2 linked regions of the Ovis aries genome follow. The protein of the gene in region 1 binds, or shares a complex with, the protein of each later gene. Links are inferred from orthologs where the notes say so. Each region holds a gene or a part of one and is shown on either strand. Other genes may lie near its edges. The genes, in order: GIPC1 and PLXND1.

Evidence for each region.
Region 2: the proteins of GIPC1 (region 1) and PLXND1 are in contact, whole or in part, in a crystal structure (PDB 5V6T), measured with the Mus musculus proteins. The link is inferred for Ovis aries from reciprocal best matches to the Homo sapiens genes GIPC1 and PLXND1. Residues at the interface, in NP_061241.1 of Mus musculus: His61, Glu141, Ala142, Leu143, Gly144, Leu145, Thr146, Ile147, Thr148, Asp149, Asn150, Gly151, Phe156, Lys158, Arg159, Arg190, His191, Tyr192, Glu193, Ala195, Arg196, Leu198, Lys199; in NP_080652.2 of Mus musculus: Glu1400, Met1889, Glu1893, Arg1899, Gln1902, Gln1904, His1905, Glu1908, Ile1918, Tyr1919, Cys1921, Tyr1922, Ser1923, Glu1924, Ala1925.

The regions. Positions count from the first base shown.
Region 1 is NC_056058.1:9,604,021-9,608,319, reverse strand, and holds the start of GIPC1 (PDZ domain-containing protein GIPC1), read right to left. Parts: upstream 2,842-4,299; 5' UTR 2,772-2,841; intron 2,266-2,771; 5' UTR 2,257-2,265; coding exon 2,152-2,256; exon of another isoform or gene 2,082-2,151; intron 2,016-2,081; exon of another isoform or gene 1,869-2,015; intron 1,331-1,868; exon of another isoform or gene 1,118-1,330; intron 305-1,117; exon of another isoform or gene 250-304; intron 1-249. UniProt on the Homo sapiens protein: May be involved in G protein-linked signaling.
Region 2 is NC_056072.1:56,125,723-56,129,521, reverse strand, and holds part of PLXND1 (plexin-D1), read right to left. Parts: intron 3,601-3,799; coding exon 3,402-3,600; intron 2,832-3,401; coding exon 2,685-2,831; intron 2,568-2,684; coding exon 2,411-2,567; intron 2,088-2,410; coding exon 1,984-2,087; intron 1,905-1,983; coding exon 1,841-1,904; intron 1,567-1,840; exon of another isoform or gene 1,185-1,566; intron 1,168-1,184; coding exon 1,133-1,167; intron 914-1,132; coding exon 809-913; intron 334-808; coding exon 170-333; intron 1-169. UniProt on the Homo sapiens protein: Cell surface receptor for SEMA4A and for class 3 semaphorins, such as SEMA3A, SEMA3C and SEMA3E. Plays an important role in cell-cell signaling, and in regulating the migration of a wide spectrum of cell types.

The sequences.
Region 1 (4,299 bases):
CTATCTGTATCATCTTTAGTCAGCTGCCAAGATTCACACTCCCTCCTTTTTCTAGGGCCCCTACATCCTGCTCACCAACTCCCAACTTCCTTAGTCTGCCTACACTTGATGCCCTGGTTCAGGCTGGCTGCATGTCTTACCCAGGACAGGGAAATAATGGTGGTAAGGAAAGTGGGTGGTTTATGAATTTGTTTTCCAGGCCAGAAGAGGCAGAGTGGCCTGGGTTCAAATCCCACCCCTGTCACTTACCAGCTGAGTGGCTGTGGGCAAGTCACTTCACTTGATGGCGCTTTAGTTTCCTCATCTGAAAAATGGGCAGAATTACTGTCTCTCAGAGTGCTTATGGGAATCCAAAGAGTTTATGCAAGTAACTCAATTAGCACTTTGCCTGACATTTGATTTAAGAAAATTATTACTCTCACTGTTATTACTGCCTCTTCCCTTGCCCTGCCCAGGGAGTCCCCTCTGCCTGTCAAGGCCTACTCCTGGCCACCTCCTCCAAGCAGCCTCCTCGGCTTGTCCCTGCCTGTTACAACCACCCCTGTGGTCTAGACAACTCAGGCCCACGGACTTAATTACATGCTGTTCTGGCAGAACCCTTGTCTTCCAGTCTTAGGCTGTTATTTCACTTCATGTCTCTATTTTAAAACATAAACCAGATCGTGTTGCTCCCCAGCCTCAAATCTTACATCAGTTTCCCACGTGATAGAAGAAAAGCTCTAAACTCCTTAATGTGACCCACAGATCCCCACAGAATCACACTGTGGGTTCTCTCCTGCCCCAGCCATACCATGCCAAGCTTGGCCCAGCCTCAGAGCCTTTGCCTTGGCTGTGCCCCCTACCTGATCCTTACAAAGCTGGCTTCTTTTTGTCATTCAGATCTTGGCTCCAAAGTTACCTCCTCCGAGATCCCCCTTTCTTACAGATTCTACCATGCCACTCCCTCATATTTTATTTATAGCATTTATCAACCTCTTGCAAGTGTTTTCTTTATTTACTTGTTATTAACAACTTGTTTGTTGCCTGTTCCCCCCCCCCCCCCATTAGAATGGTAGCTGCCCAAGAGCAGGGATTTCTGTTGTGGTCACTACTGTATCCTCTATGCCAGGAACAGTACCTGGCCTGTGGTGGTGGTGGTGGTTTAGTTGCTAAGTTGTGTCCAACTCTTGCGATGGCCACCAGGCTCCTCTGTCCATGGGATTTCCAGGCAAGAATACTGGAGTGGGTTGCCATTTCCTCCTCCAGGGGATCTTCTCGACCCAGGGATCAAACCTGTGTCTCCTGCACTGGTGGGAGGATGCTTTACCACTGAGCCACCAGGGAAGCCCACCTGGCACATAGCAGGTACTTAATTAATATGTACAGAACGAATGAATAATGTGTCTTACGCCCTCATTCTGACTACTCTCTGAGCCCCTCTAGCCTCAGAACATGCCTACTGTACCGTTTCAAACTGCCACCTCCCCACCACACTCCCAGTCTCCTCTTAAACTTGAACACAGGTATGGAGAAAATGAGCTTCAATTCAGCTAGTGGCACTGAGCAGGTTGGCTGGAATCCCACATCCCTACCCTCTCTTCACTGGGAGGGCCCGGAACTTAACAAGCCTACAGCCACACAGCGTTGCAATGGGAGGAGCAGGAAATGGGAAGGGGGTTCCTGAGAGCTCACACAAGCTGGGAAGGGGACACCACGCCCATGCTCCCCTTTTTGGCAGTGCATTGCTTGGAAGAGGAGGGCAGGAGGCCTCTGAATCAGTCTTGAAAAACCGGCTCATGGGTGTTTCCAGGGAGAATGCCTACTGTCCGCGGCCCAGGCCTCCCTAGGGGCCCAGCAGCCACAGGACCCCAATGGTCCCCACCACCCACCTATTTCTCCCACAGATGTCTCTCTCTTCTTAGGACCCAGTAGTCTGGCCTTGCTTTTCCAGCTTTGGGGAAAAGGGACATGGGGGCAGCTTCCTGTCTGAGCAGCTGGTGAAAACGAAGACCAGCAGGTGTGCCCCAGATGGCTGCCTGGTTGGAGGGAATGGAGTGGGAGGAGCTGGTCAGAAACACCTGAGCCCTGAAGCCACTGGATACCTAGTCTAGTGGCGGAGATTCCAGTTCTGGACTCTGAAGCATGGGTTTGAGTCCCAGATCTGCCACTTACTCGCTGTGTGACCTTAGGCAAGACACTCCACCTCTCTGGGTCTGCTGCTTCACCTCTGAAAGAAGTAACAGCAACTTCCATGAGGGGTGATTCAATGATCCGCATGGTAAATACCTGACACGGAAGTGTTCAATGAATGCTAGCCCGGGTGATTGTTTTCATTATTACAATCGGGACCTCGATCCTCCCAAGGCGCACCCCACCCCCTCGCCAGGCCCTGGACGAGTGGGACAAGGCCAGCTTCGGGGACAAGGCCAGCTTCGGGGACTTGTCAGAAATACCGACTCTGCGCCTGTCCCCACCGGGAGGGGAACTCTCCAGAGGTGCAGGGGGCTGGGGTGCGGCTGGAGACGACATCCCGGCGCCGGGAGGCGTTCACCCCTGACCTTAGAGGGAAGGCAGGCGGTCCTCCGGGAAGGGGACTCGGACGTTTCCCCCCACCCCGTCCCGCCCCTCCACCCCACTCAGCCTAGACCTCCAGCCGCGTCCATGGGGCCGGCCCCACCCCGCAGGATAGGCCGAATCTCCGCGGGTTCGCGATCTCGCGGGTCTGCTCCGGGGTCCCCTCGAGCGGCCGCGATGGACCACCCCCTCGCCCCTGCCTTGCCGGGTATACTCACCTGAGCCTCCTTAGCCGCCGCCCAGCTCGCCCAGCTCGGCCCTCCGCAAACTCTGGCCCGGGCCTCTCCCGCAGCCACCGCCAGGGGGCGGGGCTGGCGCCCGCATCTGGCCAATCAGAAACGGCCGCCCGGCGCTCGCGGCCAATCCACTCCACGCCGCCCCCCTGCGGGTGGAACCCGAAGGAAACATTCCAGAGGGATCCCTGCGCTGCACGCGATTCTTCACGACACCTCCCCCGCCGCGGAGCGTTGGACCTTCCCACCCCTCCTAAGCCGCGGCGGCCTGTTCCACCGCGAGGCGGCGGAAGGGGGAGCTGAGGCCGAGCCCGAGCCAATCTCTGGGAGGAAGGAGGCCAGCGGCCAATGGGAAGCTGGGGCCCCCGGACCACGTGTTCTTGGCTAAGTGTCCGTGTGGGGTGCTGTGGGTGCTAAGAGGCGGGGGACTAGTCGTGGAAGTCAGGTGACCGATACTGAGTTTGGGGGTGGGGAGGGGGAAAGGATACAAACTTCCAAAGTCCAGAAAAGGGAACCCTTTAGGATACCCGGAGGGGGCCAAGGGCGGTCCCTAATCCAGTCCTCCACTTGGCCTGCCCATGTCTCAGCTCGGCCACCCTCAGAGCGGATAAAAAGATGTATTCATTCTGGGCGGGAGGGCGGGGGACTGAGATGAATAGGGAGGGTCCCGCGTGTCCAGCGTCCTGGATGGACAATGGACAAGGGCATTCATTCATTCATTTACTCATCAAATATTTAAGGCGCTCCTGCTCCGTGCCAGGCTCTGTCCTATCTCAACAGATACGTCTACGAGTAAGCTGAATGAATATGCTCTTGGTAAAGGGAACGGGGCATGCAAAGGCTTGGAGGGCGGACAGAGAGATACAGCACACTTTAGGAGAGTGCAATAGCGAAGGAGTTTGCAAAGCAGCTAGCAAAGCATCTTTAGGTTGCAGTGGTACGAAAGACAAGGGCAAAACGGTCTGTTCGCTTGCTGGTTGACCAGTGGATATTTATTGAGCACATATTATGTGCTAGATTACAAAGGATACCCAGCCAACCCAAGTCTCAGCCCTGAGGGAGCTGACATTCACGAGTCTGTCTCCATCTCTGTTCCCTCTCTGTCCCCCACCCTCCAGTCCTGAGAATGGCACAGAGCAGGGTTTCAGTATACATATGTGGATGAAAGAACTAGGTAATCTCACCATCTCCAGGTCTGGCTTGTAACTGAGATTTCTTAGGCAGAAGCAGGTACAAGAAACAAAGACACAAATGCACCCTTCCCAGGCCAGGACAAACCTAGACAGCATATTTAAAAAAAGTGAAGACATCACTTTGCCAACAGAAGTCTGTATAGTCAAAGCTGTGGTTTTTCCAGTTGTCATGTAGAGATGTCAAAGTTGGGCCATAAAGAAGGCTGAGCACCGAATAAGTGATGTTTTCAAACTGTGGTGCTGGAGAAGACTCTTGAGAGTCCATTGAACAGCAAGGAGATCGAACCAGTCAATTCTAAAGGAAATCAACCCTGGATACT
Region 2 (3,799 bases), on another chromosome or scaffold:
GTTTTCCAGCTGGGGGAAACTAAAGCTCAGAGAAGTCTCTTGTTCAAGCTCACACAGCTTGGAATGGCATAAGGGACTGAACCCAGGCTCTGAACCCCAACCCCACTGTTGCCTGCGTGATCCAGTGAAGCAGCCCCGCCCCTTACCGGACCCCCTGAGGGACCCCCACCTGTTGGTCTTCCAGATGTGCAGTGTGTCGGGGTCTGAGATGCCCCTCTTCTCGGCTTGCTCTTCTAGGAAGTCAAAGAAGTACTTGACGGCCAGTGGGGGCTTGTCTTCCCGGATGCTCAGGATGGCCTTGAACAGGTCATCCAGAAACTTCTGCAGCGTGCCCTGCAGGGGAGTGAGTGGCGGCCATCAGCCCAGGAACACATGGGGGCGGGAGGGGGTTGGTGACAGGCACCTCTGGCGGCTGTGGGGAGCCCGTGGTGCTGGGGCTGAGCAGTGCTGGGTGAACGGGAAGCTGTGTGGCCCCAGGCTGGCCTCCTAAGTGCTCTGGGCCTCAGTTTTCCTGTCTGTGAAATGGGTTGGTGAAACCCACGGCACAGGAGTGTCGGAAGGACTTGGACACAGAGCAGGGAATTGGTGGGCTGGGGTGTGGGCTCTCTGCCTCTAGCCATGTGGCCTTGGGAATGTTTCTGGGCCACTACTGCCTTCTCTGTCACTCCAGCGAACAGAGAAGTTGTTGCCGGGCACCCTTCAAGCTGGGGGTGCGGCTGGCCCTGCAGGGGAAGAGCTGTCCCCCGCTCCCCCAGCGTGTGGTCCCAGTTGACCCCCGGGAGTGAGGACATGCGGGGGGCGGGCCCACCTTGGTGGAGAGCAGGCGGGTCAGGTAGATCTCCGGGAGCACCTTCTTGCGGTGGCTCTGCCGGTGGGACTTCTTGGGCTCTGCTAGCTCGTCTGTGGGCAGCACCTGGGAGGCCCGGGCTGGGTCAGTGCTGGCGCCGGGCACCACCCTTAGCTGCCCCTGGGAGGCCCTACCCGGCCCCCGCGGGTGCCTGGCTCTGCACACTCCCCAGCCCAGCCTTCCCCAGGCCTGGGAGCACGGCCTTCAGAGGCCCAGGGTGGCAGGAGGCCAAGTCCACTCCCAGTGAGGGGCGGGCACCCCCAGGGCCAGAGGCAGGGCACTCACCAAGTGGAAATACTTCTCCGTGTCCAAGTCTTTCACTGCGAGACGGAAACACACACGATAAATAAACAAGAGCCAGGAGCAGGGGGAGAGAGAGCGAGCAAACGAGAAATGGAGGCAAAAAGCTGGAGAAAGAAACCCAGTGAGATGGGCACAGCCAAATAGATGTGTGGAGAGGAGACGAGAAATGCACAGAAAGACAATGGAGAGTGAGAGCTAGAGACACGCATAGAAGGAGGCCCAGACAGAAAGACAGAGGCGTTGAGAGAGACAGAAAGGCGTCCACAGGGGACAGGAGAAGCAGGGAGATGATCACAGATGGACACGGGGCAGCTCCCCACGAGGGCCCACTGCCCCGAGCCCAGACCTCACCAGCTGCTGGAAGGGACCCCAAGGCCTCCAGGAGCCTAGGACCCCCAAGCTTGGGGCATCTGAAGGTAGGGATGCGGGGGTGAGGCAGGGACACAGCCCAAACCCCTGATGGCCTGGCGCCTGCCCAGACCTCTTACAACCGCCTCCCTGCTCCTGGGGCCCCTCTCGGCTGCCTGCAGGAACCCAGCGTCGAGGAGGCCTGGCCACAGGCCCCACCCAAGCAGCACTGCGGCAGGGCGCCGCACCCGGCCCAGCCCGGCCCTGCCCCTGGAAGCCTCAGTTACCCACCCCCTGCCGGGGCTACTCAGGAGGGCCCGGCCCCCTGTCCGCCCGCACTACCTCGGCCCAGGGTGTTGTCCTTCTTGTCTGTGAGGCTCATGGCCAGGGAGGCGCCTTCGGGGATCTGATAGGGAGAGAGGCCGCGGTCAGAAGGCAGAGGTCAGGGAGGGTGGCGCGGCGGGGCGGGCAGGGCCGGGGCCCACCTTGTAGTGGGCCAGCGTGTTGAGCTTCTTGCGGCCGTCCTCCACCACCGAGGTGTCATCCAAGTCCCGCAGGATGTAGCTCTGGGTGCTCGAGGCGAACCACTCTAGGGGTGGGGGACCGGGGGTGAGGGCCGGGGTGTCCCCCACGGGGAGAGAAGCAGGGGTCCCCCCAGAGCTCTCTGAACCTCTACTCCTGCATCTGGAAGGCCGGGCGGGGGGGGCCGGGCGGGGGCACGGAGCCGCGGCTCCACACAGCCATCCGCGGGGCGGTCACTGGGTGGCCGGGCCTTCATCACCTGCGGCGAACTCCCCACGGGGCCCCAACATCAGCTCCTGGCTGATGGGCACCGTCTCCACATCCCTAGAGCCCCAGACAGCACACACGTGACTGAGCGGGGCCCGTCGGCCGCCCTCCCACCCAGCCCACCTAGGTCCACGTCCTCAGCACGCGGCCACTGGGAGTAGGGCACGTTCTTGCAGAAGGCTTCCAGAATCTTCTCCTTCACCTGCGTCAGCGTGTCCGTGTCCATGGCGCGCACGCTCAGCGAGTCCATGCCGCAGCCTTGAAAGGACACGTTCAGGTTCTGCAGGAGAGAGACAGGGGGCTCAGCAGCTGCCCACCGACCAGACGGGCAGACAGCCTGCGGGTGGGGGTGTCAGGAGCGAAGCTGGGAGCCCCTCCACCCCCCGAGCCGGCTCACCCGGGGCTTGGCCTCGATGTTTTCCCGCAGCAGCCACTCCTCGTTGAGCGTGTAGCGGGCTTTGCCCGTGATGGCATCGATGGAGCCCTTGTTGATTTGCTGCTTGATGGCGCACAGAAGCAGGAAGAAGGGCTCCCCCACCGTCTCCTGGGGGCGGGGGGCGGTCAGAGGCTGAAGCCAGCTGCCCACTCTCCAGACTCGAGCCCCGAGCCTGTGGCCCCCACCTGGACCGCTGCATACCCGCTTCCACCAACCCCCCCGCAGCTGCCTGCTTCACACCTTTTGATCTTGGTGCCGCTCAGCCCTCCCATCCCCACACCCAGGGCGTCTCCCTGGACTCCCAGCTCAGACATCGCCCAACCTGGGCGGCCGCATTCATTTTATCGCGCTGGCAACCTTTCCAGGTAGCGGTAGCATCCTCACGGGCGAGGCTCAGAGAGGGCAAGCAAGCTGCTCAAGGTCACCCAGCAGGGAGGCGGCAGAGCTGGACTCAAAGGCATGCCAGGGAGGGCTCGGGGGCTGAGAGAGTGTCTTCCTGACACGGCCTCTGTTCCCAGGGTAGCTCTGAACCTTGATTCCCCCACCCGTATAATGGACCCTGTGGGCCAGCCCCTTTCCCACATGTGTGCAGAGACCACAGTCACTGGTCCTGGCAGAGATGGCAGGAAGATGAAGTGAGATCTCCGGGGCAGGGGCACGGCTGCCTGGTGCCCTCACCCGCAGGCAGCTGTACATGCAGATGGACATCCAGTTGGTGAGCATCTTCTCAACCACGGACTCCGTGCGCCGCAGCATCAGCTTGGGGTTCTTGGCAGCTGAGGCGTCGATGAGGTCCACCAGCAGCTCCTTCATGATGCCTGTGTAGTACTCGAGCTTGCCGTGGAGCGCGATGGTCAGCAGGGAGGCCAGGCTGCACCTGTGGGCAGGCGTGGGAGTGGGGGGTCAGCCACACTGTGAGGCCCTGGGACCCAAGGACCATACTGCGGGGGCTCCAGTGCCCCCCTTGTCACTGGATGAGGCAGGTGCAGCAGAAATCTCCCTGGAGAAAAGCCTACCCTCCCTGCTGCTTAACCACCATGCCCACGAGCCCCGTCCTGGGCAGGCAGGACCAGGAA